Linked DNA regions of Tribolium castaneum. The protein of the gene in region 2 interacts with the protein of the main gene of each other region in a biochemical or structural test. Links are inferred from orthologs where the notes say so. Each region holds a gene or a part of one and is shown on either strand. Other genes may lie near its edges.

Region 1 (4,666 bases), on a different chromosome or scaffold from region 2:
ATTGAAGGAGATGACAAAATCTTACTTTTGGTGTCAAATTATGCAAAGCTTTGGCTGTCAATTCCCGAATGACGCAATCCCAGTGGTCGACTTTTCGGCCAACTAGATGGTCGATCATTGGGATGGTGTATTCGCCGAATTGGGCGATGTACGGACTTATGGTCAAGTAGGCGTTGTTTCGCACACTGACAGTGAAAAAGTCAGCAACTGTCAAAATGTCAATTCCGTACGGGAATGTTCCTTGACGTCCGACGTTTTCTTGAAAGGCGGCAGAGGCCGCTCGTCGACAATTGATCTGAAGTTTGGACCAATCACAAAGAAGATAACCCAAAAGTACAACTGCATTTTGTCAAAGTCAAAAACCCTCCGTTTTTGACACTAAACCGCGACTTTTTACATTGTCAAAACATGATAAATGCCAAAAAAAAAGACAAAATATGAAAGACTGAGCGGAAATTCATTGATTTTCAGTAATATAAAAGAAAAAAGCCGCTGTCACTATCAAAAACAGATGATAGCACCAGACAAGTGAGTGAGCGCAAAAAAAAGAAAAAAAAATAGTTTGATTTTCTATCATTGTCAAAACCACAGTACGATAAATTGATAGAATCCAGTAGCTTAGATCCTTACCTCTCTGTCGAAACAAGCGACGATCAACAAATTCGCAGCTATCTGATTAACAAAAGGTTTTAAAACATCCTTATCATAGGCCCTTGCAAAGGCCCAACACACATAACACGCTGCATCCCTTATATGTGATCCTACAGAGGAATATCCTCTCGGTTCATCATAGACCAACGCCTTAAGTACAACCGGTACCACCTCCGGTAACCGTTTCGGTAGCAACAAGCCCCTCCTCCCCAATTCAGCCAATGCCAAACAGCCGCCATGCCACGCCCCATCCCCCTCTCTCGGACTAAACAACTCCAAAACCGAACCGACCACTTCATCGGCCAGTTCTTGAGGTAACCGACCGGTTACCCGGCCTACTCCCTTTGCAGCCGACCATCGCACAATCCCATCACAACTCCTCAAACCGTTAATTAACTGGTCTATAACCTCCTCGACTTCATCAGGAACCTCAATATTATCTTCTGGGAGGGGTTCTTGCGTGTCGTGAGAGGAGGTGGTACCATCACCCCCACTTAAATTCGCAGCCAATGAACGATTGCCGCGTTTGTAGCGCCAAGCGGCCACTTTGGGAGGTAGAAACGTCAAACCTATTCTTTGGACGATTTTATAGACAAGTTTTTGGACGTTGGTACCGGAATTATGTTTTATTTCGTCACGGATTATCCATTGGAGGAGGGGACGGGCATGAGGGAGTAAATCGTCGCGTTTTCCGGTTTTCAAAATCATGGCGATTGAGGCTAAAGTTCCTTGTTTTGTGAAAATAGTACTCTCGGAGGAGGTACTTTCAACCATTGACCACTCGATGTAAGACAATAGGTGCTCCTGTTTGACGTCATTTCTAAAAACAGGGACGGCTGTGTCACAAGAAGCGCCATCTTGTGGCCAAACAAAGGGGAAAGTGACAGTTGGAAGACCAAATTTAGTTAAGTGTGACTTGTATTTTACGTATGATTAAAAAGATTAAAGGCAAAAAGTTATACGTTTGTCAAGAATTTTAGAATTTCTTAGATGAATAAAAAAGAACAAGAAAACTAGATAAAAATACAAAAAAACACAAAAAATCTTCATATTTCAGTCAGGATTCATAAACTATTTTAATATTTTGTAAAAAAATATAATATAGTACTTAGAGCCATAACCAGTTACATTATTTCCCAACTCGACAAAAACAGATTAAAAAACAGTAGCTAGAATAATCTGAAAAATTGCTTGGTTGGTATAAGAAGCCACAAATTTAATTTTCTTATAATTTAAATTCCAAAATTTAATTCTTTAGAACCCGATTTTTTTTCCAAATGAGATTTTAGAGTATTACAGACCTGGGCAATGTGTGATAGCTCCCAGGATTTCGTTCCAAAATATCAACCAAAACTGTTCGAAGAAATTCATCTCCTGGATTATATACTTTTTTTTGACAAAATCAATATTAAAATAAATTAAAACTGAGTTTTTTTAAGTGACAGAAAGCACTTTTGAAAAAGTGAGGTAGTGGTCGTAAACAAGCGCCATCTGTTTGTTAAGCAAAGCGTGAAAGGAGGCCTTAAGAGACAAAGGGCGGGAAATTTGAAAAAGTGAAGTTATAATTTTTTTCACTTACCTTGTGATAAAACGCGACGAGAGATAAGCCGCAGCGTCCCTGCACTTATCAGGAACCACAATATATTTCTTGATAATGTCCAAAACCCTACACATCACTGTTTTCTTCTCTTTCTCGCTTTCATCATTTGCATCAAATCGTGATAAGTGAAACGGAATCATGACAATTATTGATAACCACAACAATAGTACATATCTAGTGGTCCAAGTGATTGAATCATCACAGTCTTGTGATTCTAAAAGTCTTAAAACGGCTTCAAAATCTGAAACCTGAAATCTTCATTTAAAGCCTGCCTAGGGCCCCCCTACCTCATGTGGAAGATGCCTGACTATCACTTTGTACCCCCTCACGTTAACAAACACGAACATATACTTAAAAACTTCGTGTTTCAAGTCCATACTGGAGCCCCCATCTCGTACGATATTGATACATTTTTCCAAAAGGTGGTCAATATGGGGGTCCAGCAAGTGGGGCTGTTCTTTATACTGACCAATGATGAAGCTAAAACGCTCGTACGCCTTCTCATTGAGGGCTTTATCCGAATAAATGGATTTAAGGGTGTCTATCATTTCTGAAACTTCGGTCGCTTCGACGAACAATTCAAGGGCGCAGCCAAGACCGAAAGGCTCCTCTTCCATATCTGAAGGCTTGTTTTTTTCACTTGTTGACATGTTTTTGCGATAAAAAGGTCTTTTGTTTACAGATGTCACGAAAAATTAGAAATTGTGAGGTTAAGTTTCGACTACTGTTTTACTGGTTGCAGGACAATGGGCGCATGTTGCTAGCAAAACCTGGATTTTTTTTTTAATTATTTATTCAAAGCACAATTAAAAGACACTTTTTTTGTACATTTTGTTTCTGTGTATTTTGTGGCTAAAAATACTGTTTTTTTATGTTTGGAACTTAGAAAAAATGATTGTTAAATGAGGGCAATAAAATATTAACATTTTTTTTCAACGCTTGAAAGAATCCGTTAATTATTTAGCGAGTTTATGAGTTACTTAATTAAAGGGTGATCTCTCACCTTATCAAATTTTAATTTCGTTTGTTTTTCTTCATTGTTTGACGTTATAATTACTATATCCGAAATTAGAAAGCTATTTTTTAGCTGAGAGGATTTGTGAATTGGACGGAAATAATTCAAAGTTTTATCTCCACAAGGCTTAAAAATTAGAGTAATCACGGAACTTAATTAAAACGGAACAGTGTTTGCTCTTGTTGACGCAATATGTAAAAGTTTTTCTAATTATTAATTTAGTATTTAGATTTCCAAGGAAATATGTTTAAGGACAGTTTAAAAAATATGTGTAAGCCATTGAGGAAAAAATGTAGAATATTTCCAGTTTTTCACATTTTAATGCTTACATTTATTCATTAGTCAGTTTTAATTTAGGCTGTATCTAAGCTAAATTCAGAATATCTTGTAGTTTTAGCAAATAAACGACTTTTAGTTAAAGCATGTAGATAATATACAGAGTGCTAAAACGCAAAAAGTTAAATAACTAATTTTTTTCAAAGGGAACAACCTGTATTTTTTTCATGTATTGATAGCATTTTTGATAAGTTTTCTAACGGTATGCAGTTTGCATAGCAAATTTAAAATATTTCTCGAGATTTTTGAAAAAAAAAGATTTTTTTACAAGAAAATTTGTTATCTTAGAATCTGATAAGTCAAATGGTAATTTATTTTTTATATGTACTAATGTGACTAATTACATTAGCAAACTAATTATTACCTGATATATAAATGAATTTTGCTGATCAAGAATTTATAATAAAATAAATAAAAAAATAAAAAAAACACTAAGAAATGTTTCAAATTTGTTGAACAAACCGCATATCATTAGAAAGCTTATAAAAAAGCTATTCATACGTATAAAAAATTAATGGTGTTCAATTTGAAAAAAAAATGAGTTATCCAACTTTTTGCGTTTTGGCACACCTGTACATTATCTAAATGTTTCAAGTAAAAGTCGACTATTACTAAAACTATAGGGTATTCTGAGTTTTTCCGTTGCAAATTTTTCGAAAAATATTTATAGCCGATTTCGCAATGATTTTAAAAAAAATTTTTTTTTATAACGAAAAGTTGAATAATTTTGAAACGAACAAAGATAGACCCATAATAGTTTCTATAAAGTTACATTATTTTTTTACGTAGATTCCAATTATGCAAAAAAATATTGAGTGTTCGATTTAAAAAAAATGTAACTTTGATTCACCACTCTGTATACAACACCATGTGTACAATAAAAAAAATTTTGGTTTGTGGACTTTAAGTCGATCTATCGGAAAGTGAAAACGATATAGCAATATTACAAATAATAAAAAACCCTGGGTGACCCTGGGTCACCCTCTATTTTTTTTAAATAATTAAAAATAAAGTGTTGGCATTTGAAAATATTTAGTTCGATTTTCATCAAATTTAAAAAATAA
Region 2 (3,125 bases):
GCCGCGAAATTTCTGTTTTTCGGCCCACCAAATGGAGATTTGCCTCAACCCGTGTCATTACAGACACCACCGACTGCTTCCACCCTTGGACCCAGTTCTAGCGTCCCCGGTTTGGGCAACGATTTATTACTACGAGAAGGGGTCGCGAATTGGGGACGCGTTTCCTTGCCAAGGACTCTCCGCTTGGGTGCATTGCTTACAAGGAGGACCGCAGCGAAACGACAGGTTTAATTTGTTCGAGAAGGAAAATGCGGGACGCGAGTGGACGGTGAAAAATACAAGGCAGCAGATTGGGAGAGGGATTACTCTGCACTATGTTAAGGGGCAGATTTACGTGCAGTTGTGGTCCGATTCGGATCTCTACGTCAATTCGCGGTTTTACAATCGGCTTAAAAACTACCCGGGTGGTACTATTTGTAAGTTGTCGCCGTTTCGGTGCAGACACATGAAACTGTTCCGTGATGACGAATTTCACGAAATGTTATCTGCGGAGGTGGCAAAGGGTTGGGAGGCTGTTTACAGCTTAGCTAAAGTGTGCACCGTTCGAATCAGTTTTGTGGAGGGTTGGGGTAACGAAGTTGGGGGGATTACTGAGAAGCCTTGTTGGCTTGAAGTGCGCTTTCTGCGACATCTGGAGTGGACCCAAAGGACTTTGACGCAAATGGGGGCGCCATACAAACTACACTATTAATATTTTATGTCTTTTTTATTAAATATATTGTACAAAAGATAAATATTTTGATACAGAATAAATTAATCCAAAGTGAAAATTCTTGCTGCAATATCGTCAATTAACCAATCCATTCCTTTCAAAAGATTTTCGCCCGTAACAGCGCTACATCTCGCTATTTGCCAATGGTGGGTTTTGATTTGATCCAGTCCGAGAATTTCACGCAACTCTTCAGGGGTGCAAGCCCCTGGAAGGTCTTGTTTGTTTGCAAAAACTAGAAGAGTCGCGCCAGCTAATCTCTGAAAAAAAAGTAGTACGAACATGTTTCATACAAATTTATGTACCTCTTCTTGAAGTAAAGTGTGTAACTCAGCTTTACAGTCCTCAAGACGTCTTTTATCAGCACTGTCCACCACCCAAATAAGACCATCTGTGCATTCAAAGTAATTTCTCCAGTAGGAGCGTAGTGATTTCTGACCCCCGACATCCCACAAATTTAAAGTAAAACTAAAACACTTTATTTTGAAAATTCGGAGTGTGAATAGCAGACCTACCCTCTGTGTTCCAAGGTTTTGATATTGAACCCCAAAGTAGGTGAAATCGTATCAATTGGTTCCCCGTTAAACCTTTTCAAAATTGTCGTTTTCCCAGCGTTATCTAAGCCTCTAAATTATAAAATTAAGAAAAACAGTGAGATGTTTTGCACAAAAAATGAGTTTTTTGAGGTTAGATCTGGACGATAAAAGGATACAGCATCAAAATTCGCATTTCTTTTTCTTTTTGCTTCATTTTCTTTAAAACTGTGAGAAAACCCATTTTGTATTAAAAATTATTAGACACAATAAAAAAATTCGAAGACTTATTATTTTATGACGTTTGAGATTTTCGACATCTGACAGAAACGTCACATTACCGCCAGAACGTATGTTGTAATTTTACACACGAGTTTTGGTGATTGCCTACATAAGTTTGTTGTTCAACTACAGTAAAACCCCGTTTATTCGCAAAAAAGTTGCCACATCTGAAGCGAACAAGAAAAAACACCAATCATAATTCGAAGTGACTCTTTGTTAAAAAAAAGAATAATAAAAATGATTTGATATTAAAACCTTTTCAAAAAAGATAAACAAATAAACTTGTAATACAATCATTAAAAAATACAAAAATGTGCTTCTTTCTATCATTTTTGAAAGCCATCCTGCGTGGACGTTGTGCATACACTGTAGGTACTTTGAGCAAAAAATTGGCTCGTTTATCAGGCAAAACTATTTTGTTTTAAAAAAAATTACCTGGTGGTAATAGATCAAAATATTTACATAATACGACTAATTCGTATAATGAACAAAAGTCGCTTAATTTTTTTACCACGATTTGTTATCTTTATAAATTTTGTAAATAATCAAATCTCGAACATTCATTCGTATGATGCAATTTGTTTTATAAAAGCCTGAAGTGTTTTTTTTTCTGAATCATGTGTTTCAATTTTGATTGACTCTTTTATTTAAACGAAGTCTAACAGCTTCTTAGCTATGATCGTGCTTAAACTATAGGTTGCTTAAACTAATTGTTGTCAAAAGAGCTAAATTTTTATGTTAGATATGTATACTTGCTTCAAAAAATGATTTCGCAAAATACTATTATCTAAAATTATTGTTGGAAATTTCATTTATTCCATAACTGTATTTTTAGGATTATCCAGTAAACGAATCTAAACCCGCCCCTGCAGATAATGCTGATGTACTGAAAGTATCTTGAGCAGATTACACAATTATTATTTGACTGATTAAGTACTCAATCTTGAATAATAAAACAATACAAAAATGTGATTCTTGATTGATTAGCAAAATATTTTCCTGAAAAGATAAGAAACAAAAAAGTAATTTTGTAAATTACCTACTTTTAGTGTTTTTAAATAAAGGTTTGGTGTGTCGGGTTTTTTAAACTTTGTTTTATTTACTTTTAGTGAAAATAAGACAATAATTTTCGTAGATGTTTTGTATAGGTTTCAAACTCGGTTTTAAATTAAACTAAGTGCTTTAACTAGTCTCTTGTAATTGCTGGATTTTGAATAACAATCCCATAGTTTTAACAAACAACTACCTATTACCCAATTAACTCGTCTACCTAATCTCCTCCACTTCGTAAAAAATTCCATTACTAAAGACCATAGCCACTATCTAGATGCATTTTTAACAACTTTTTCGATAACACACCCATTTAAAACTGCATCCAGACAAGTCGCCCATCTAGTCCAACAATGGCCACCCTCACAAAAATATTTGCTTTTATCTTAACCAGCTGTTTTATCCTAAGTGTGGCGTTAGCCAACGCTCCAATTTCACGCTCATCGCGAAGAAGTAAATCTCATTCGGACAGAATCCTCGATGATTGATATTCTCAATTTCAGTCCACATCCCATTTTTGGGCCTGGGCCCACGCTGCACTGGATGTCCTC

Evidence for each region. The genes of interacting proteins can lie anywhere in the genome.
Region 1: the proteins of Arl2 (region 2) and Tbcd form a complex in vitro, tested with the Homo sapiens proteins (2 studies listed by BioGRID and IntAct). The link is inferred for Tribolium castaneum from reciprocal best matches to the Homo sapiens genes ARL2 and TBCD.

The regions. Positions count from the first base shown.
Region 1 is NC_087400.1:8,034,227-8,038,892, forward strand, and holds the start of Tbcd (tubulin-specific chaperone D), read right to left. Parts: upstream 2,981-4,666; 5' UTR 2,902-2,980; coding exon 2,539-2,901; intron 2,500-2,538; coding exon 2,231-2,499; intron 1,472-2,230; coding exon 631-1,471; intron 296-630; coding exon 26-295; intron 1-25.
Region 2 is NC_087396.1:14,850,588-14,853,712, reverse strand, and holds Arl2 (ADP-ribosylation factor-like protein 2), read right to left. Parts: upstream 1,584-3,125; 5' UTR 1,487-1,583; coding exon 1,422-1,486; intron 1,336-1,421; coding exon 1,225-1,335; intron 1,178-1,224; coding exon 1,015-1,177; intron 970-1,014; coding exon 754-969; 3' UTR 692-753; downstream 1-691. Other genes in the region: protein mothers against dpp, read left to right, coding at 1-691; uncharacterized protein LOC103313727, read left to right, coding at 2,928-3,027, 3,078-3,125. UniProt on the Homo sapiens protein: Small GTP-binding protein which cycles between an inactive GDP-bound and an active GTP-bound form, and the rate of cycling is regulated by guanine nucleotide exchange factors (GEF) and GTPase-activating proteins (GAP).